Drosophila melanogaster: one gene and its partner. The protein of the gene in region 2 interacts with the protein of the main gene of each other region in a pairwise test. Each region holds a gene or a part of one and is shown on either strand. Other genes may lie near its edges. The genes, in order: Snm1 and Acf.

The links.
Region 1: the proteins of Acf (region 2) and Snm1 interact in a two-hybrid assay, tested with the Drosophila melanogaster proteins (one large-scale study listed by BioGRID).

The regions. Positions count from the first base shown.
Region 1 is NT_033777.3:5,548,074-5,563,530, reverse strand, and holds Snm1 (Snm1), read right to left. Parts: upstream 8,448-15,457; 5' UTR 8,397-8,447; coding exon 7,330-8,396; intron 7,273-7,329; coding exon 6,819-7,272; intron 6,762-6,818; coding exon 5,991-6,761; 3' UTR 5,745-5,990; downstream 1-5,744. Other genes in the region: Pi4KIIalpha (phosphatidylinositol 4-kinase II alpha), read left to right, coding at 402-566, 637-1,264, 3,338-3,456, 3,729-3,859, 3,957-4,152, 4,212-5,032, 5,096-5,164, 5,230-5,233; Pcmt (Protein-L-isoaspartate (D-aspartate) O-methyltransferase), read left to right, coding at 9,348-9,402, 9,464-9,600, 9,856-10,260, 10,486-10,569; mia (meiosis I arrest), read left to right, coding at 12,911-13,708, 13,769-13,938, 14,343-15,144.
Region 2 is NT_033777.3:31,792,458-31,800,092, reverse strand, and holds Acf (ATP-dependent chromatin assembly factor large subunit), read right to left. Parts: upstream 6,113-7,635; 5' UTR 5,726-6,112; coding exon 5,604-5,725; intron 5,112-5,603; coding exon 3,881-5,111; intron 3,823-3,880; coding exon 1,460-3,822; intron 1,401-1,459; coding exon 1,225-1,400; intron 1,159-1,224; coding exon 720-1,158; intron 655-719; coding exon 555-654; 3' UTR 294-554; downstream 1-293. Other genes in the region: Mccc1 (Methylcrotonoyl-CoA carboxylase 1), read left to right, coding at 6,475-6,515, 6,623-7,388, 7,443-7,635.

The DNA of each region.
Region 1 (15,457 bases), about 26 Mb from region 2:
TCTCGATGGTGTTTGAGATCCTCCGCGTCCCAAGATCCGTTTCTGAAATAAAACTGGGACAGAAGCTGGGGTTCTAAACCAAAAATCGATAATAAATTGCCAAACGAAATAGAAGCACAAAATTGAAGCAATTAGCAAGTAATGTAATCAACTTGCAGCCCGAATAATATAAGCATATTGTGCAGGAACATGCGAGCGGAGGAAAAGCGGAGGAGCAGATAACAGAACCAAGCGACGCCCAAAAAGTCGCGGATAGAAGCGCAAGAAGAAGCTGCAGCACAGCGCGGGCCTTTGTTGTTCCGTCAGCTGCGGATTGAGGGCAACGGCACCTCCCACTCATCCAGCCCTCTTGACCCACGCCCAATCACCCACGTGCCTGCCACCCCCTGCTCAGTGCGAACATGAGCGGCGCTCGGGATCAGACGGATCCCCCGCTGCTCCAGCTCGAGGACGAGGTGGATCTCATCGGGGACTTTGCCAAGGACCAACCTCCGCCCAGAAACCAACTGTCTCCGCTTTTAAATGGCTTCGAGTCGACAAGCAACCAGTTGACCACCAAAGTTGAGGTGAGTGCACTCCGTTCTCAACCTCACCTTCTGCAATACATATGGCAATATGAACTGACTTTTTCCTTAGATCAACACCGTCGGCATGGGCAAACGCAAGACAAGGAGAAGAGGGAAAAAGGCGCGGGAACCCATGCTACTGTCGGTGGACGACGAGGATGACGAGGAAGAGGCGCAAGAGGAGAGGAACCACACCAACGGGCTGCCGCCAGGCGAGGAGAGTGCCGGCGGCGATGCTGTTATTCAGAAACCGCAACTGGATAACTTGGTCATGCATTACGACGACCAGATCGACGACGAAGATGGCGAAGAAGCTGTGCTGCTGAAGAGAAGCTCAAACCCGCGCAACCAAAGACTCAAAGGTAGCGCTGAGGATAGCATCGACAGCAGCAGCCAACAGCCACCGATTATTTGTCACATCGCACCCGCGAAGGTAGCCTCATCTGCATTGACATCTCCGCTGAAAACCACTTCGCACACTGCTCTCGCCCGTCATCCGCATGACGAGGCCGACGACATCTGCCTGGTGCCAGAAATCGACTTCGAGGGCATGTCCACGGACGCCGGCAGCGACAACCGGGAGTCACAGCCGCTCTTGGGGGGAGGCAATGCCAGTCACGGAAGTCGCATCAGCGAGCTTTTGGGCGGACTAGGACGCGGGCACGATCATGTGGAGTTTGTATCGAACACATTTGGCGGTGAGTGCGCAGCGGTCTAATGAAGTCGTACAAGTTGCATTTCCTACCACACCCAGACCACATTGCTGCCTTGTTTGCTTTGTGGCTTTACTCATGATGTGCTTATCACTTCTACGGCTACATATGGTGGTTCTATCTCCACAAGCAGCGCAAGCTTAGAACAGATTATTTAGGGCCTCGATGTTATTCATTCAACTTCATCTAATTTCTTTTATACGGGGAGGATCTGTAACTGGAAACTAGCTATTTCGCCTCTGTTACATACTTGAATATAAACTAAACGTGAATATAAACTAGACAAAATGTCCGACCAAATGAACCAAAAAGACTCTTAAATAGAATGATAAGGGTTAGATTCCTAGCTGCTATACGTTTTAAATTTAAATTAAAGTCAACAAAAGCACCCTGGTCAACCCAAGCATTTCCGTCCTCCAAAAGAATTATTTACATTTAGATTTATTTAAAAACTAATACAAACTGCTTTTGTATTCCCTTGCTAAGATAAATAATACATATATGAATCAATGCAATCATAAGAATAACCACATTTCTATTGGTTAGTCCATGAAGTGCTTACTCAAATATTAGTCAATTTGTACGTTGTGCAGGGAATTGAGCTAACTTTTATAGATATATGTAGAGTGTGTTGTGGGAGCGATATACACTGCCAAATGAGTACTCATCTAGATCTTTGACCTTTGTGACTCAGGTGATTCGCACTGCTCTGCTGCCTTTGAACATACGCTGATGAGTAATACCCTCCGATTTGTTTTCGTTGCATTTCGAAATAACTTCCGAAAGCGATTTATAGTTTGTCTGTTCTTTTTGCAATCGTTTTACTCAGTACTGAATATCACTAGATGGCCATATTTCGCTTGCCCTTTGTATGTTAATCCTATAGTCATCGCCCCACATTTCAAAGCATTTTTTACAATTTTATGGTTTTTACAAGAATTAGTTTTTTTTCGAAATTGAGCACAAAATTGTGTGTTATAAATCTTGGTGTACTTGGATGTCACCGTGGACGTCTGTAGCTCGGAATCGAAGTCAGTCGGGAAGCATATAAAGAATTTCGAGGAAGGCACTTCAAAAATGGAACTTGTTCCTTTGGCAACTGTCGCCAATTGGACATAGCCCCATGCCGAAAAACAACATTAAGTCGTTTCTCAGCCAGGTGCCGTTGCCGAACGCTATAGCAGCCAAGTACCAAGAGCCAAGCGAACCAAGAGACGATGAGCAGCCCACGACAAGCAAGGATGCGCTGGAGAGCAGCTCCTCGGTGCCCTCCGCCTCCGCCGCCTACGCCTGCATCTGTTGCGAGCACAAGTGCCCGCTGGAGAAGGATTTCTTGGAGTCGCAGTCGGACAAGGAGGGCGATCCGCCCTTTCTGGTGAACTCACCGTCGATGGCGCGTGACTCCAAAGACACAGTAACCGTTCAAATCGCGGCTCCGCGCTGCAATTGTGCCAACTGCCCGCTGAGGAACCTCTGTAAGTGGTGGCAAGGGGTTGGCCCTTATCGAAACGCTTTGGCTATGCTAATTGTGACCTGGTTCTCCTTTATCAACTGCCAGCCGACTCGAAACCTCTCGACTGCCGGCGCACTTAATATACCAGTGCCTCCATGTCGCGCTTGTCGAGCAGCAGTCGCGAAAACTTCATACCGCAAGTGTTTACCATTTGCCAGGACTTGCAGGGCGATTTCAACGACAACTTTGATTTCATAGGTAGCGTGGAGAGGATTAGCGTAGTCAACAGTCCTATGCCATTCCTTGATATAAAGTAAAGTGTAGGATGGGGTCTTGAATTTCATCGCAGTCTTATAAGCGTTTTCGTGCATGTTTGCTGTAATTATTTTTATCCAACAGATGGCACGTTATTTCGTTGGTGTGTTTATAAATTATTAAAACCATAATTATATAGCAAATTTGTTCAATTTTAATAAATGACGAACAGTCCGTTTTTTACCCGTCGCTTGAGGCATGCGAATCTTCGTTCTACGCACAAACTTTTTTAGTAATTTAAAGCCCTAGTGCTAATGCCTATTTTTAATTTTAATCTTTGATTCTTATAGATGACCCGCTTTTCTCGGAGATCGTGGCGAAGGCGGAGGGGGCCATCGAGAATGGTGTGCTGCCCGAGCGCATTTACCAGGGTAGCAGTGGTTCCTACTTTGTCAAGGATGCCTCCCATGTGAGTAGGGAATCGGGGTGACGATCTTCTAGCCGTTCTTGCGCATAAGGTGGGAGTTGGGTCGTCCAGTTCTGGGCCTAACTTCGTCGATCTTTTACTTTTCCGCGCATAGATAAATAAGATCGGGTAATCGGGGAAGTACTGCAAATATAAGGCTTTTGCAAAACTTTTGGTTTTTTCCTGAAACAGTTTCAAAATAGTGAATTGTATATTGTTTACCCGCTTATGCTCTATGTATTTATTATGCCATTTCTTATGATGCTCCCCCTTAGCAATGCCTGGCCGTATTTAAGCCAAAGGACGAGGAACCCTATGGCAGACTGAATCCGAAGTGGACGAAATGGATGCATAAGCTGTGCTGCCCGTGTTGTTTTGGCCGAGCTTGCTTGATTCCCAATCAGGGGTAAGATAATACAAGTTGTCACCATTCATTAAAAGCCAATTGAGGAACTTATTTCATTTGTTGATATATATATTAAAATGGTATTTATATTTCTTAGGTACCTCTCCGAATCAGGAGCCAGCTTGGTTGATCGAAAACTCAATCTGAATGTGGTTCCAAAGACGCGAGTGGTCAGATTGGTTGCCGAGAGCTTTAACTACGCACGCATTGATCGACAGAAGGCCAAGCTGAAGAAGCGCATTAAAGAGCACTATCCGTCGGCTCACTTCAACCGAATGAGCCTTCCTCTAAAGGTGAACTCGTCTCCAAAAACAAACCGATTGGGTATTAACCAAGTCAAAATTCCTTGCAGACTGGCTCCTTTCAGCTCTTCGTGGAGGGTTACAAGGATGCGGACTATTGGCTGCGGCGCTTTGAAAGCGAACCCTTGCCGCCTTCAGTGGCGAAGTCGTTCCAACTGCAGTTCGAGCGCCTCGTCGTGCTCGATTATATCATACGCAACACGGACCGTGGCAACGACAACTGGCTGATCAAGTACGTGGCCCCTAAGATCACGACCCAGGTGGGAGGCACTGGCGGCAGAACTATGCACGGAGTTGTGACCCCCAAATTGCCCAATGCGTTGGGGGCTTCAAAAATCGTTGACCTAAACGAGCCGCCGCAGGCTAGCCCGAAACCGACTACTGGTGGTCGCCCTTCGAACCACCTAGCGGGTGGAGCAGCCACAAGTGCACAGCAAGATAGCAGCAGTTTGGCCAGCAGCGAAGATGAACCCTCGTCGAGATCCCCCCCTACGTCGGAACCCGATTGGAATGTGGTGAACTCGGCCTTCATTCGGATCGCTGCCATCGACAATGGTCTCGCTTTTCCCTTCAAGCATCCGGACTCTTGGCGAGCTTATCCCTACCATTGGGCCTGGTTGCCACAGGCGAAAATTCCGTTTAGCGAAGAAATCAAGGAGCAGGTGCTGCCGCAGTTGTCAGATATGAACTTTGTAGAGGAGATCTGCACGGAGTTGTTGTACCTCTTCCAGCAGGATCGCGGCTTTGACAAGCGTCTCTTCGAGCGCCAGATGTCGGTGATGCGGGGCCAGATTCTAAATCTCACACAGGCACTGAGGGATGGCAAGTCGCCGGTGCAACTGGTCCAGATGCCAGCGGTGATTGTCGAGCGGTAAGTATCATACTTTCATGACTCCGGATTATAGGAGGCCAATAATGGTTTCTAACATTTCAGATCAAGTGGCAGTCGTTTCTTCTCTTTTACGCAGCGCTTCCAAAATAAGAGCCCTTTCTTCTCTTGGTGGTAGGTTGCCGATTCATTGGTACTTCGTCGCATTGTCACTTACTAGCCACTTACTTCACTTTTAGCTAAATGACCATGGAGCAGCCCCTGCCGACCCCACCAAAAATCAAATCGAGCAGCCGGTTACTACAGTCTCATCTTTTTCATCATGTATATGCGCTTAGTTGTTGTCTAGTATACTTCCAAATCGTAATCACGGAGCACGGAGCCTAGAAATGTATTTTTTGCCAAAAAACTCAAATGGTCATATTCAATAATTAATTACTTGTATTACTAGTTTCTGGGATGACTTACCCATACCATGGTTACATATTTAGGAAATATCTTATGTTTGTCAAGTGCTTGTATAGTCAATTGTTTTCGCATAAAGTATGCAGAAATCAGAAGGAGATCATTTTAAAGCACTCGCTCAAGTGGTTTATACATTTCTTTATTATTTGAATGAAATCATAATGCATATAGGTGAAAAATACAAAGCTCATTTACATTCGTTAGCACTTGAGTTAAGGTCGCCCATTGTTATTAGCATTAGCACATATTTAATGGTTTCCTTTCCTCCAAACTAAAACTCAATTTATTTCATTATGTACGGTTCGCAACTAAATAGTGTGGGAATATATATATATATCAACCAAAATACATATGTAAAGTATTTAAAAGGCAAGCCTTATATAAAAGATATTAAAACATTATAAAAGTTTAACAGAAACTAAAGCCCTTTTCGAACATAAGTATGTATATACCTTATTATTTCATAACAAAATATCTTAAAACTACTAGCAGCCATACTTAAATCCAAAGGACTTTTTTATCCGAAATTTAATCACTACAGGAGCCAATCGTCTGATGCATCGGATGTCAGTCTACTAACCACGACTGCCTGGCTTTTCTGGACACCAATAACATTGCAATCCGTACTTTGAAATGTATCTTCCGTTGGGACACGAGGTATGAGGACTGCATCAGGTGCGATAGTTTCGTTTTTAATGTCTATTTCAACATATGGAATTTCGGATTCCATCGCATTGAGTTGTGCAACTATTTCAGAATTCGGTGACGTGTCCGGTGCCAGAGGCTCGTTTTTAACTGGTATCTTGGAATCAGTTTGAAAACACTCTTCCGGAGTGTCGGATATAATAGTTACATGATTCGTTGGCACCACGGACTCCCGGTCATCGTCTTTCTTATCTTCACTCCCTTTGGAAGCATTCTCATCCACGGGGCTCAAGAACATTTCAGTATCTGCACTGAATTTTGCAAAAGCTCGCTTCGGCGTAGCTAGGAAAGTGGATATCGAAGGCTGAAACCCAGTACGCAGCATAGATGCCCGACCTTCGTACTTGTACCACCGTATGGGCACCTCTCCAGTGACATAGAGATCGCGGCCCACGGGAACGGTGCTTATGACTCGCTTTGGCTTGAGGAAGCGAACAAAGCGCTCCAACTCCTTGTAGCTGGAGTGTTCTGAGTACTCAATGCCGATCGTGCTAATTCGCTTGCCGTACGAAGGCTTTGAGTTCTTTTCCCAACCGCTGGGCCTTATGCCCAGCAACATGTCATATTGGTCCTCGAATTCAGTAAAGTAATCGACTAGGCTCTGAAACAAAATAATATCGCTAACTAAAAAATTGATATATTTTAGAAATACACTTACCGGATAGCTGATTTTTCCCATTGCAATGACGTGCAAGTTTGCTCCGCTGCGATCTTCTGTTAGCACGGAGTCTAGATCCGGCCAATTCAGGCATCTTACTGCAGTGCTGCGATTGCTTTCCGTCCAAACCCTCATTGTGAACTCCTTCGCTAAGGCCAACCATATCTTCTCCTTTCCTATCACGTAGGAGCCGCAGACGATAAGGATTCGTTTGGCTGCATTTTTCTCTAGGAAGGCGCGCACCAGATCCACCGCTCGGTCAACGCTCTCGCTTTGGTGGCAGAAGTCGTAGTTTTTGTTCATATACGTTGTGTCCAGATAAAGCAGGTCGATGTTTGAATGGTTCCAGAAGATTGGTAGGGATTCCATGTCCGCGCTAGCTCGGAAGTCCCCGGTGTGCAGTATGCATTCGCCAGAGCTCAGTTTGAAGAAGAACATGAGTGCTCCAGGACAGCTGAAAGGTGAGAAATAGCAGTTTGGTAAGCTGCCAAAAAAAAGCGACTGCTCTTACTGGTTAGCTTCTAAGGCGGTTACTTGGACGCCATCTACGTCCAGGGTCTGGTCCACATCAATTTCGTGAATGTGCGTTTCATCGAGTTTAATAAACGTTCGCACCAAGCGCGCTGAAATAGGACTCACGTAGAGGGGATGGCAGAACTTTTTAGTCAGGCCGATGTAGTGATCCGCATGAAAGTGCGTGAGAAAGTAATGTGTGACTCCCTCTATTTCCCCAAACTGAAAGCCGTCGACGCAGAAGGATGTACCCTCCACTACTTTATAGGGCGGACAAGGCTTTGGTTTTCTTTGTTTGCGTACAGTTCCTTTTTTAGAGTTTTTGCCCAGGGGGCTTTCCTTTGTGATTGCAGCCGGCGATGACCGGTAAAAGTTATTCGTTGGGGATTTGTTGGGACCGGGGGAGATTTCCACTAGGTCTAGGCTGGAATTGCTTAGCTTGGCTTCTGGCATGGAAGTCTCTGGAGTTCTAAACTTGGTTGCTTGGACATCGCTGCTTTTTTCACAGGGAGAGGCTATCGCGGATGGCTTTCTTTTTATGGTCTGCTCGTCCTCGGAGCACAGGTCAATTACGTGCACTTCGGAGAGGCTAGCGTTCTCCTTGCCTTTCGCACGGCGACTAGGCTGCACTCGCTTCTCTGACGGCTTTGCATCCAGCTTGCCCGTAAAGGCAGATGAGGTTGTTGTAGACTCCTCGAAGAGGCGCTTGCGCCCTTTGGTAGATACCTTTCGCTTGTCCAACGGAGGATCCACCTTCCTGCAAGAGGAACTTGACTTGACTTTGTAGTTCTTGACGGCACTTGTAAAAAAGCTATCGATGCGCATTTGTCCTGGCAGCGGAGTCTTCTTGCTGGAACGCTTGAACGCAGTGCTGGCTATGATTGGACATGCTTCCGTCTTTGGTCGGACCTTTTTTGTCGTGGAAGCCGCACGAGTTCTTCCCGCTCTTTTCTTGTCCGGCGTTCTGTTCTCGATCGTGGGCGTTGGGTCCGGTTCTACATTTACTCGTACTGTGGCCTGCAGATCCGCAATGGATCTTATCTTTATTTTCCCTACATTGGACATCCTGTTTACATATAACAAATAGGGCCAGGATCGCACGGTTCGATTGCCAGAGAAACCGCTTTTATCATATCGACAGGCGATAAAGCACAAGGTCATACTAAAATCAAGCGCTTAATTTAAATTGCCGCCATATCTCTCAAGCAAAAATTAAGTATATATAATCTTTTTAACGATTTTCGGGAAAGGATTAGGAATATGGCAGGGACCACGATTAAATGCAATTCATTGCTTAAACGCAGCCATACCATTGGGAGACCAAATAAACTTCCACAGCAGCCGATATGCCGACAGACTTAGCGCCCACCCGAACACGTTGGCGAATGATCTTGTCGACCTTATTTCCCTCCGACGTCTGAAGAGAATACAATAATCTCTCCACGGTACATATGTGTACACTATAATTAAGGAACAGAATCCATAATATCTTTTAAGCTACACATTAGGTTAAGTTCAGAAGGAACTGAACGATTCCTAATGCATAATAATAAATGATTTAAACTTAAAAAAAAAAAGTTTAAAAAAATATATGTATATATATTTTATATAATTTTAATATAATATTACCTGCACAGCAGTGACAGCACGGGTTTAGATGTTTTACATATCCATGTACATAGCAGCATGTTCACTTTTAGTTATTAAAGTTCGACCAGTGATATTTTTATTGAACTGAAAATGTTATGCAACTATCGATATTATATATATTCAACAGATATTATTTCAATATAAATTCAACAGAGGAGTTAAACTTATTAGATGCAGGACATACGACCCAAAACTCAGTTGATGTATGAGTACTGCTTGAATGTGTCGATTGCTTGTCAGTGTTATCGTTGGCCTGCCACCTCTGGTACAATATTATAACAAACTAAACAAAACAACAAGACGGTGGAAAAAGGGAATCTTGTGGTGCGGATTGGTAAACTGGGCTTCTTCTTCCGCGCCTTCAGCATGGCGTGGCGATCCGTGGGAGCCAATAATGAAGACCTGATTCGCCAACTGAAGGGTGAGCCCTTGAATTCGCTCCGTTTAATGGGCCGAGTTAATAATAGAACCGAATCCCCAAGATCACGGCGTCATTGCAAGTGATGCGGTGGCCCAGGCGATGAAGGAAACCGACCGCAAGCACTACTCTCCGCGCAACCCCTACATGGACGCCCCGCAACCCATTGGAGGAGGTGTCACCATCAGTGCTCCTCACATGGTAACTCCTAGCCAGGACATTGAAAAACAAATAGTTTGCTCGCCATGTTTGCTGTGGGAGTCAATGCCCACACTCAAGATGCTTTTAGGAGGCAGCATAAAAAAGTAGCTTTCTTTAATCCACTAAAAACATATCAATGGCTCATCATTTGAAGACTAGTTCTTCACTCCCGTAGCTTCTTCCCATCATATTCTTATAATTTCTGAAAGTAAAGTGTCTTTTTAAACTGGAGATTAATACATTTTTCTTTCCCAGCATGCCTTCGCCTTGGAGTATCTACGCGACCACTTGAAGCCCGGTGCACGTATACTGGATGTGGGCTCTGGATCTGGCTACCTCACAGCCTGCTTCTATCGTTACATCAAGGCTAAGGGCGTTGATGCGGACACCCGAATCGTGGGCATAGAGCACCAGGCAGAGCTGGTGCGGCGGAGCAAGGCCAACTTAAACACCGACGACCGTAGCATGCTGGACTCCGGCCAGTTGCTGATCGTCGAGGGTGACGGCCGCAAGGGATACCCCCCGAACGCCCCGTATAATGCAATCCATGTAGGAGCAGCTGCTCCCGACACACCCACCGAACTCATCAACCAACTGGCCAGCGGCGGACGCCTGATAGTTCCAGTCGGTCCCGACGGCGGGTCTCAGTACATGCAACAGGTGGGCAGATGCTGATTCGTATAACTGCTGGAATAATATGTATATGTAATAATAATAATATATATATATATAATAATATACATAATAATATATATATATAATAATATACATAATAATATATATATATCATAATATACATAATAATATATAATAATATACATAATAATATATAATAATATACATAATAATATATAATAATATATAATAATATAACCATTTTTACAGTACGACAAGGACGCCAATGGGAAGGTGGAGATGACACGTCTCATGGGCGTAATGTACGTCCCTCTCACGGATCTTCGCTCCTGACTGCACAGAGTGGGAAGGTCGCTCGTTGCGGTGCTGCTGCTCGTGTTTTTTCTCTACCTAATTTTGGCTTACTAGTTAATCAATCAATCAAAATTAAATTGCTTTTTTTCACGTTGAGTGCAAATATATAAGTTTACCGAACAAACGCTGTCTTTTCGTTTTTTTGTTTAAAGTTACCAAGCAGCTTCAACATTTCATATTACATTAATGAAATCATAATTTTTTTATGTCCGTAGTGAGATAAATTTTAACTACACCTTTAAGAATTTTTCCCCGATTTACAGATTTAGTTTTAATAGTGATGAAGAATAGGATAATTGTTAAATATTCGTGCTTAATATTATTAATTAAATACTTATACTTCGAATGGTTAAGTTTTAAATAGTTGACTGGCTTTGTTTCATCAAACCAGCTCACCATCATAGACATTTATAAATTGAGATCCAACAAGTGAACTATAGATGTCCGGAACGTAAAATATAATTTAATCAGTCACAATTTAATCAAGTGCTAAAACACCAAAAGTGTCCCTAAAACATTCAGGAACAGCATTACCATTTATTTAATCAGGATGTTTTAAAAAAATTACGTTTATACCCGTTATTCGTAGAGTAAATAAGTAGACTATAAGTAGATTCTTCGAAAAGTAGAAAACAGGCAGAAGGAAGCGTTTTCGACCATATAAAGTATATATATTATTGATCAGGATCAATAGCCGAGTCGATCTGGTCATGTCCGTCTGTCCGTATGAACGGGATCTTAGGAACTATAAGAGCTAGAAGATTAAGATTCAGCATTCTAGAGACATCGACACAGCGCAAGTTTGTTGACCTATGTTGGCACGCCCACAAACCGCACAAAAATGTCACGCCCACAATTTTGAAAAATGTGTTAATAATTTTAAGCAAAAATACAGTTTCTCTAGATTTTTTGCCACGCCCACTCTAACTCCCTTCAACCGCCCAAAACTGCTACGGCCACATTCAAGCAAATTTTTCTCAATTTTATTAGACGTTCAAATTTCTATCGATATGAAAAAAACTTTTTGCCACTCCCACTCTAACACCCTAAAGACACCAAGTCACGCCCACACTTTTGAACAATTTTTATAATGATGAATAATGATGGAATTTCACGTTCGCATTCACACTAGGTAAGGAACGGGTATCAGATAGTCGGGCAACTCGACTATAACATTCCTTCTTGTTTTATATTAATTATACAATATATGTACATTTCTATAGATTTGACCTTTTGCCACGCCCACTATTATGCCCACAAACTACCAAAAGCTGACAAGCCGACTTTTTGGAAAAATATTTTTATTTTTTTCCGTTTTATGGATTATCTTACCCATTTCTATCGGTATACCAAAAGCATTTTGGCAACGCCCCTTCTTACACATTTTGTCTCATTTTATACCCAATCGATATCCCAGAGAAAGTACATGAAATTTTGGTTCGCACTTGCACTAGCTGAGTAACGGGTATCTAAAAATCGACTAAGGCGTTACCTCTCGTATGCGACAGCATGGGAAATATTTTGAGTAAAATTATTGATATAAATATTGGAGATTACACTTTAAATCAGTGCAAAACAAATTTTAAACAATAATCGCAAATATAGTATAGTATGTATATATATATATATATATATACCAAACTGTATGAAACTGATACGGACTTTCCTATTCCCATTCGTACTAGGCGGTTTCTACAATTTCACTTGACAATTATGTCAAAGTCAGGTTCAGTCGGTTGTGGAAATGCTGTAAAGGGCAGTAGTCGAAAGGAGCTCGACCTGGGAAGTTCTCCCAGAGGGCACACATTACACAAAAAAGTCTAAAAACGCGGTTTATTAAATGAACAGTTTTATTTTTATATTAAGTAAGTTTGTACAAAATCAACAATGATGGGAAGTGAATCTGTGCTATTAGGGATATATTGTTTTTTAAGTGTATCCGGAGTGCAACCGTCAATGATGATTAACCTAATTAACCTAGCTACCAAATTGTGGACCACGTAATACAACCCACATATATGTGATGATGATATATATGATATATAATATAATTAACTTTGTAATTAAATAACCGGCTAAGCTAAAATAATTGGTTATGAAGTGTTTTTGTTGGAAACAGTATTACTCCTCGGATAGGTTGTGGCAAGCTTTGCCAATGTTGAACTGACATTCAAAAAAAAATCAAACAAGCCGCATTTGAAACTCTCGCTTGATATTTTTGAAAATTCAATTGGCGGGTATCGGTATCGAGTGACGACCCTTTCTGACCGATAACGGCGTCGTGCATCGCCTATCGACCAGTGGCATCACTAGTGCCAAAATGTGGCAGTTTGAAAACAAAAACGCAACTAAAATGAAAACGTCTCAGAATGAAATGCCCGACAAGGACAAAAGTTTTCGCAGACATTCTTTGTCGCCGCGTTCTCTATCCGCGATATTCTTCCACAGCACTGGTCTGCATCTGGACGACGGAGTAGCACAGTGGCTATCCATCAATGTTAAGGAAGACATTACAAATCTGCTAAACGAGGCTGGAAAATACATGCGGCGCATCCGGGATCGGCGATTGCAACTGTCTCACATCCAGCATGCCGTCCGAATGCACGACGACCTCTGCTATGACATCTTTTTTAGGCTGGTCCATTGCGACGATTGCAAAATGCCTCCTTCCCAAAAAGTATTAAAAACCGTCCGCGAAGCTGTAACCGCCGAAAAAAAGGATGAACTTCTCGTTTCCTACCCGGAATCCGTGCAGGAATCTGTGCCGGAACCCGTGCCGGAGACTTCATTGGAGCCGCCTCCCATGCACACCGGGTGGCTAAAGGTGGAGCAGGTGCTGCTAAAGCCCAGCAAGCGCTATCCGCTGAGCATGGAACAGCAGAACTTCTTCGAGTTGGTAACCGAGGCCTGCGTAGGCGACTTGGAATCCCGGCGCGTGCTTGCTCTCAAAGCCATCTCCACTGATCCCTCGCTGGAGGAGTTGCTGCCCAGGTTGACCAAGTTCATTGCGGACGCAGTGGCTATCAACGTGGCCCAGCAGAACCTGCCGCTGCTCCTTTACCTTATGCGCATGGTCCGAGCTCTTTTGGGAAACCAGCGCTTCAGCCTATTGCAATATGTAAGTATTTGGTTCTGAGAGGAATAGGATAAGCTGAAGAATGCATCTGTTGAATTGCAGCTCCACCTGCTCCTGCCAGCCGTTCTATCCTGCCTGCTGGCCAAACAAGTGTGCGCATCTCCGAACTCGGAGGATCACTGGGCCTTAAGGGAATACTCCGGAAACATAATGGCCCACATAGTGCGCCAGTTCGACGCTGCCGACAACGGCATCCTGCCCAGAGTCATTGGGCAAGTACTCATCATGTGTGGGTTCTTTGGGTTATTTGTGAATTCATATCATTTTATTAGAGAGAAATCCATCTGGTAGAGGAATATAATCATATTAATTAATATTAATATGTCGTTACAAAATACCTAACGTAGCTCGTTTCACGTTAACTCATTGTAAATCATATAATATCTGAAATAACCACCAAGCTATTAATTAAATAAGTTGCTTACCCCTTCGATTTATATTGATAATAATTTTAGATAACAGCGATAATAACGTCTATGGCGCAAATGTTGCGTGCGACCACATGCTTAAAGAAGTGTGCTAAAAGTTTATTAAAATAACATCTCGCTGCTCGCTAAATCAATTGATTTTTGCTTGCAATCTCTATCGGATTAAAAAATATTCATTTATATTCCAGTGTTTACAACAAGGCGCTATTGAAGAAGCCACTGACAACGGTGTTTGGGGCCGTCATAGGCCTGGGAAAGATGGGGAATCATGCGGTCCGCGCATGCATTTTGCCTCAATTGAAGTACCTATCTGAACACATCGATTCACACATGGCCGCCAGTAATGACTCTCCCAGCTCCAGCGTAGACAGGCAAGCAGTTAAGTACATTCGTCATCGGTTGATGAAGATGTGCTCTCCCGTGCTGATGGGCATACATCAACCCCCTGATCTGCCGGAAGAGTTTATGGAGAGATATGGATCTTTGGGCACGCTGATGAGCGATGGCGTCACCGTGATGCGTACGAAGAAACAAGCAGTGGCTGCAGCCAAGGCGGAAGCAGAACTGAAGTTGAAAAATATGGCTACAGAACACCTTAACTCCAGAGGGAAAGGATCTCGATCCGTCGGCTCCAACGATCTTGTCTCTGGCACCCAGCTGCCCAAGAATGGTATTCGTCCCACAAGCCAAGCACCCAAATCTGTCTATTCAATTTCTGTGAATGGACAGACCGTCAAAATTTCGACGCCAAATCTTTGCAATACAATGCTTCAGCATCAAAAGAAGGATTTATTTTCCAAACCATCGGACTTTGTGGTTCCTCAATTAGTGGTTAATCAATTCAAAAACGGCTTAATCCCGTCCAATTCCCAGCGATCCAGTTCGCCGGCCAGGAACGTGATACATTTGAAACCTAACAACGACCATCCTTCAAAAATGGCTTTGTTCCTACGTCAAGCAATAACGGCAGATTGTCCAATAATTACTTAATTCAATAACCTATCTCTGTATGAAATAATTAAAAAATAAAATAATACACTTTTTATATTACAATCTTCCGCAAAGGTTTGCTTTGCAGCCATTGGAAGACAGGTCAAAACCTCACCAATATTGCTTTAAAACTAGTTATAAGAACAAATTGAGCGCATTCCGAATGGACACACAGAAGTGGATATCAGTATTTTGTATGTTGGAGTCAATAGTTAAAATCTTTAAATGTTTGATTTAAATTAAAAATAATTTGCTGTATTTTTTTAATATACATAAATAAATATATTCACATGTGCAACGAAAGAATATATAA
Region 2 (7,635 bases):
TCACTCTTACTTTTAATGTCCAGTGAAACACACATAGCTTAGATTTCATAAAAAGTAATAATAACAATGCAGCATCCAACACTTTTTTCTCGATTAAGAAAGAATTTGGCAAATTAGGTTCTTTAAGCAATATTTTTTTTTTTGCGATCAAATCGTCTGTTTTAAAAACTGGCAAACTCCATCTACCCATTTTTCCTGCGTTTATACAGAGCTAAGCTCTTTTAAAATTTGTATTCATTTAATTTTAGCTTTTTACACCTCCAACAAAACAATTTTTTTTACTTATTTATTTTGAATCGTTTGTTTCCGGTCACTTCATTTATTGATTGTGGAATTTTCGTAGTGTCTACAATAATTTATAAATACATAAAGTCTCATAAACCAACAGATAAGGATTTTTTGCATATGCGTGTGCTGAACTTAGAACTGACATGCACGAAAATAAAGATCTTTAAATACACTTAATATTTGTGCTTAAATATATATGGTTTTCAACTACGGCTTAGAGTAGACTAACTAATTTACACGATAGCTGGTGGAGATCAGCGTCCGGCTCAGCAAGCTTTGACTTCCCCGTTCATATCGCTAGGCCTAAACGGTAGCTGCATGTCCCTACATCGATCGATCACGAATCGTTCTAGTTGACAACCAGCGCTGCAACGGATTCAAGATAAAGGATAAACAACAAGACCACTTACGGATTATCCCAATCTACTCACTCGTATATTTCGTTGCCTTCTACGTTGTACAAATCGCAGTTTCTAAACACCAACTGAATGTCGCTGAGCAGCTCCTCGTTTAGCTGGTAGGCGCCCATGTTTAGCTTGGATTTGATTTTAGCTAGATCCATGGGCGTTTTGATGATCTGATGGTAGTCGGGAACCTCCGATGTCAGCACTGGTCGCAGAAACGGCCAAGCGGCCTTGTGCTTCATGATCTGCTCAAGCAGATCGTACAAGGCGGCACTGTTCAACGGCATGTGCTCGTTCGTCCGACGCCCGCTTCTGCGATGGTTGTTGTTATTGACGCTGCTGTTGTTATTATTGTTGTTGTTGTTGCCGTTGCTTGGGCGGGCGGTCTTGTCGATAGATAGGCGCAAAGAGTTACGTGGTCGCTTTGCTTTTGGCTCCTCCTCATCGCGGTCATGATCACCATTCACTTGTTGGACAGAAATCACACGGGCTATTAGTGAGCTATTCATTAAGGAGAAATTTGTGGACTTACTGTTACTGTGCCGGCGCCTAGGTCGTTGTGGCATCGGCTTGCAGGTTTTACAAACGAAATCTGTGCGAGGCGGTCGCTTGAGGTGAACACATTCCAGGTGAAAGAATAGCCTGCATTGCACACATTTGATTTCACCGCCATCGTAGAAACACTTCTGACACACCTTTTCCTCATCTCTGTGGATTGCAATGGGTTCATTATCTAAATTTAATTTTCAATCCAGTTTTTAACTTACGACTCGTCTTCGATCGTATCTTCACCGGCGGTTAAGGATGCGTCATCGCTGACGTCTCCGCTGTCAACGTCTTCCTGAGCATGTTCTTCGATCTCTTTCGAAGTAAGTCTTCTGCTTGTTGGCCGTGTGCGGGGTCGCCTTAAAATTCGCCCATTGACTCTGGAAGATGAGGGGGTAGAGGTCACACTTTCGTCGTCCTCAACGTCCTCATCGTGTTTTTCGTTCTCGTGCTCCGCATCCTCATCGGTCATATCGTCATCCTTTTTCTCTTCCTCTTCTTCGTCTGTAGCTTCATCATCCTCCTCTTCTACGATAAACTTGCGTTTCTTCTTTGTCGCCTGCTTTTTATCCTTTTCGTTTTGACCATTGCTGAGACCCAGACTCTTTACGCAATCATTGCAATACCAGTTGCCCGGGGGTACAGACCTCAGCTTAGGCTTCAGGCAGAACATGTGAGTGCCAGCGTTGCATTCATCGCACAGCAGCATCTTCTCCGGATCGCTGCCACGCCTGCAGACCTTGCATAATGACTTATTGGTGGAACGCCTCCACTGAATACAGTCGTGCAAGATGTTTAGGTGCAGAAAGACTTGAGCAAAGCTTGTACTTTCCATTAGCGAAACTTCCCACTGGTGCAAACGCGAGTCGCAGGCAAGTTTTAAAGCCTCCTGCTTGGGGTCCCACTTCTTCATGCCGTAGGGTTCCTTCAGAAACCGTTTTCCAATAGCCTGCTCCACTTGCAGAAGGGCCGAGGCCATGTTATGCACGGCGATAGGAATCGAGACGGCATTCGTATGCTGATCCTCCTCATCGTCGCTGTCTGGTAGGGGTTTTGTGTCTGCAGAAGCTGCCAAATACATGCCAGGATCGCGATATGGTTTCCTGGCATATTTACCTAATAGTGCGCCATCGTCCTCCTCGTGAGTTTCGTGGGATTCGTTGTCAGAACCAGCTTCATCTTCCAACTTGCCACCCGGGCCCCACTGCAACTTGCACTGAGCGTCGTAATTGCCTCCAAGCAAGTCACTTCGCCACTTTTCCATATCCTTAACTTTCAGGCGGCCGAGATCACCAGTGTAAATATCATTTTCAAATTGAATAATTCGATCCACTAAATGCAAGCGCATCACTTCGTTTAGATCGGTCCCATTCGGTAACCCAAAGTTTGCTTCTCCGTATTTACGGTTAGTTTCAGATTCCATCGCCGCCATAAACTTCTTGCGCATTGTTTCGTTTTCTAGACTTAGCAAGTCTACTGGGCAGGTCTTAGCATGCTGTTCGATTAAGGAACGCAGAACGGATAGCTCTTGAAGGAGTTCATATTCACGGAGACCATTGGGATTGAGAGCCTTAATTAATTCATCGATCTCCTCGGCTTTGTAAATATATGCCCAACGCTGCCGTTGCCCATTTCTTGAATCATGCACAATACAAGATCGTTTGTCACCACTGCACATCAAGAGCTCAAAATGAGTGGGAGCCTCTGGAGAATCAGATTCGACATCCATGGGTTCTGCACTGCCGTTAAGGCGATGCTCTTGGTTCTCCTTGTTCTCTAGAGAGTGCTTGGCCTTTTTCTTAGTTTTCTTTTCGTCGTCTCCGTAGAGTTTGAGTAGATATACCCTTAGGTCCTTGCGATTCTTTGGCAATGCAGACTGCTGACGAATTTCTATTTGGGACTTATTTGTTATTGGTTGCTCCAAACAAGTGTCAAGGCTGTCCGGCGAATGCTCGACAAAGATCCCAGGCATAGACTCCAAAACGTAATATTTCCTGTAGCACCTATCCATGCCCAAGTAAACCAAAAAATTGAAAAGCTGCGAATGCAACTTAAGCATCTGCAACTCGTGCTTGCGATGTTGCTGATCCGATTGGGCGTGTAGCTCGGCAATACTCTTCTTTAATTTCTCGACCAACGCTTCCCTCTTTTCAGGCTCAACGCCATTTACCTCCAGGTGGTGCATTTGCGTGAGTTTTTTCCTGTTTATCTCTACGGCGGCTAATCTCTTATTTTCCCCGACAACTAGAGCTCGTAGATCTTGCCTGGCCTTTGCTGTTTGCTCCATACGCTCCTCAATCAAGTTAATCGTGCCCGAGTATGTCATAATTTGGGACATCAGGCAGCGAATCAGGAGCATTATATCCTTAAACTTTAGCTGATATACGGAATGATTTTTGAGAATGCGCAGGATGTGCGAGTGTTCCAGACGTAGTTCCAGACCAGGGTCTTCTTTTGACGAGTAGCCATTCCGGTACATGACTCTCCAGCGCTCCGCCTTTTCATTTACAAAAGCTCCGGATCCAAGTAGATGCAGTCGTAGCACTTCACTGAGAGTCAGTGCATCTAATGGTAGTTCATTTACCTATTGGGAAAATAAAATTAGTTTAGATAACACACGTCGGCACAAACAAAGTATTGACCTTAAAGGAAAAGTGCCTCTTGGCGTAAAGGTGACTTTTGGCGGCCTGCGCCATACTCCAATAGGGCTCCTGAGTTTGTGCAGCCCGATCGAGGTAGGTCACTGCGCATTCCTCCTCCTCTTCTTTTTGCAGATCGAAAACAGTGCCAAGCAGAACGAGGAGGATGTCCGATAGTGGGCCCGCAATCTCACGAGCAGTCAGTGCACGTGTCATCTCGTAGAAACTGAGGTTCTGACGGAACACCTCGATGCCGGACAGCAATCCTGTGTAAGTGTGCATAAACTCGCGCATCATGAAGGCATCACCCAGGAGGTGCTCAGGCAGCAATGTGACGATCTGTCTGTAGCGGGGCAGGACTTTTTGGTCGGTTCTCTCCAGGTCGTCCGTCTTTTGAAGCAGTAAATTACATTCGTTTTCAACGCGTTCAATCAACTGTGCCTTCTTTTCCGCCTTTTGTTTTTCCAACTCAATAAGCTTGGCCTCTTTTTCTCGCTTAACCCGCTCCAATTCCTCTGCCAGAGATTTAGCATCAGACTTGGCCTTCGCCTTTGACTTTGCAGCCGTTGCTTCACCGGCGACAATATATTTGTTGAGAGTGGATTGCTTCTTGCCGTCAGGTTTTTTAATCTTAGCGGGAGAATAACGTGGCATTTTGCCAATGAAAATTGTGGAGAAGTTTACGCCAGGGTCCGTCACGTACTGCTTGTATGCCTCTGGCTTGGGTCGAAGAAGTCCATCCACCCGCGATACATTGCTCTTTATAAACATACTCAGGTTTTCCAGGTTAAACTCCATGCGCGAGCGACGTAATTGCCTAAAGGGCAGATCAAGCTCTGCACTGGGATCGCCCTTGTTTGGTCGTAGTCTGTAGACCAGGTTGTCCGTGTCCTCATAGATACCATTGAGTGGTTCCGGCATATTTTTGTCCAACTTGACACCCAACACCGTGTACGTGGCGTTCTTCTTAGCTTGCACCGACACCTCCTCGCCGATAAAGTAGCGCTTGCGCAGAAACTTGGCCACTATCATGTTCAAGGTGTTGACCGCCGACTGTTGGGCGTGCTCCACAACCAGAAGGACGGGTGCCCGAAGGCTCTGTTTGAACTGCTCCATCTTCTTGCGAGCCGCCCGCTCACTTTTGACCGCCTCCTCGTAGGTGAGGTTCTCCTTGCCGGTGGCCTCGCACTGCCACACCGTTGAGTTGATCACCATCACGTGCCGGAAGTAGTGTCTGGATAAATAAATTTAATCGATCAGCGTTTTAAGGTCAATTTATTTTGATATAATTGAAGCTTGTCAGAGTAAAACATATTTAGTATGTTTGCTATTTATTAAAATAGTTTCGCGCTACCCAGCCTCTTAAATAATTGCTGATCTTAAAAATATCTAGAAGGATCATATAAGTCGAATTGGGTCAACAAATTCCAAATTCAAGAGCGCGCGCTTTGGCACCAGGTGGCAACTCCGCGGCGAGCAGCTGTGCGGCGGCAGCTGTAATTTCTTCCCGCCACCGAACAGCGTTTTTTTCGCCTTTGGCCCACGAGACTCGCACACTTATGCACCCCTGCGAACACACACACACACACACTGAATGGTGATGTACGGTACATCGTGTGCAAATGCTTTTGCAGCGTCGCTTTTGTTGTATACTTTAGCGCAGCGTCCACCTAATGGCAGGAGAAGGGAAGGGGCAGTTGCAGGAATGGTAGCAGGATGCACTTACTCATAGTCGCGAAAAATGCGCTTAGTGATGTAGCAGCAGAAGACCTGGTCGTTGTCGTGGAATGTTTCGTTCTTGCCCTCCTTCTGATTCAGGTCGAATCCTTCCCGCTTGCAAATGGGCATGTTTGGTGTTTTCCTTTTGCTCTTGAATGTCCTTAAGTTTAAATGGCAGTCCTTCGAAGTGCACGTTTAACAGTTCACAATAAAAACAACCGCGGAGCAACTGATAAATTTTACAACGCCAAGCGACAAGCGCAAAAGGCGCCCAACTTTTCACGCCTTTCCGGAGGGGCTTTCGATGCAAACGGTTTTCCAGCGATACGCGCGTTGACTTCCGACGCAATTATACAAGCTGTCGGCGGGCGACACTTTTCCGACAATTTCTACTATGTTTGTGGCTGGCTTCCTCAACACCAACTACCTAAATCCGTTTATTTTATAGCGCACAATCTATTTTCACGCGCATATTTTGGGGCCTATCGCTCTTCGACGTTAAACTATCGGTTATCGAGTTTCTGCGAACAATGTTACCGAACTTCACGAGCGCAGAAAACCGTAAGGACGCGGTCGGATGGATGTCAACAGTTCGATAAATAGTCCAGAATAATATAACGGTAATATTTTTTATGGGTTGCAACTTAAAAAAAACACAATATACGTAATATCAATTTCCCTAAAAGATATTGATGATATATGATAATCCCCAAAAGATATATGAAACATTAATATTTTCAACCATGCATCTCGTGAGTCGCCCATCTCAATTGCGATCTTGTGCGTGTGCGTTTTTCCAGCTGTGATAAGCGACGATCGCACACTTGCTCTGAATAAAGTATATTTGTTATTTATTCTTACAATTAATTCTACTAATAATGTACGCCAGACTGCTGCGAAACTTCGGCGCAAACGCCAGGTGAGGGAAATGATCGGCAGTTCTTTGTTAAGGCCGCTAAATCAAAAGACTTAATTTCGTTCTTGACGATTACATAAACCTTGCTAATTTGTTTTGGCTTGACGCAGGTGCTTTGCAACAGAAGCCAGCCCAAAAGTTCGGCCTATCAGCAAGATCCTTATTTCAAATCGTGGTGAGATCGCATGCAGGGTGATTCGAACCGCACGCAAGCTGGGAGTTCGTACCGTGGCCGTGTTCTCGGATCCGGACGAGAAGAGCATGCACACGCAGTTGGCAGACGAGTCGTACCGCGTGGGGGAAGCTGCCTCCTCGGCTTCCTATCTTCGCGGTGAACGCATCCTGGACATAGCCAAGCGTTCGGGCGCCCAGGCCATCCACCCAGGCTACGGCTTCCTCTCCGAGTCCGTCGAGTTTGCCGAGTTGTGCCAGCGTGAGGGCATCATCTTCATGGGTCCGCCCAGTTCCGCCATCCGGGACATGGGGATTAAGAGCACCAGCAAGGCCATAATGGCCGCTGCTGGGGTGCCGATCATCAATGGATACCATGGCGATGATCAGTCAGATGAGTGTTTGCAGCGAGAAGCCGACAAAATTGGCTTTCCCTTGATGATTAAAGCCGTCCGCGGCGGCGGAGGCAAAGGCATGAGAATCGCAGAAAAACCGGACGACTTCCTCACCGCTCTGAACTCAGCTCGCACCGAGTCCGAGAAGTCGTTTGGCGACAGCTCTGTGCTTCTGGAGCGGTACGTCCGATCTCCACGCCACGTAGAGGTTCAAGTATTTGCGGATCAGTATGGTGATGCTGTCTATCTGTGGGAAAGAGATTGCTCCGTGCAAAGACGTCATCAAAAGATTATTGAAGAGGCGCCAGCTGTAAGTGCACAAGAGCTTCGGCTATTTTAAAAATAATGCTCATTTATACAACAGCCAGGTTTGTCGGAAGATTTGCGTCGTGAGCTGGGCGAGGCTGCTGTTCGTGCAGCGAAAGCTGTGGGCTACGTAGGAGCTGGCACCGTGGAGTTCATTCTAGACAAAGAAGATCTCTCTTTCCACTTCATGGAAATGAATACCCGCCTGCAGGTGGAGCATCCTATAACGGAAATGATTACGGGCACCGATT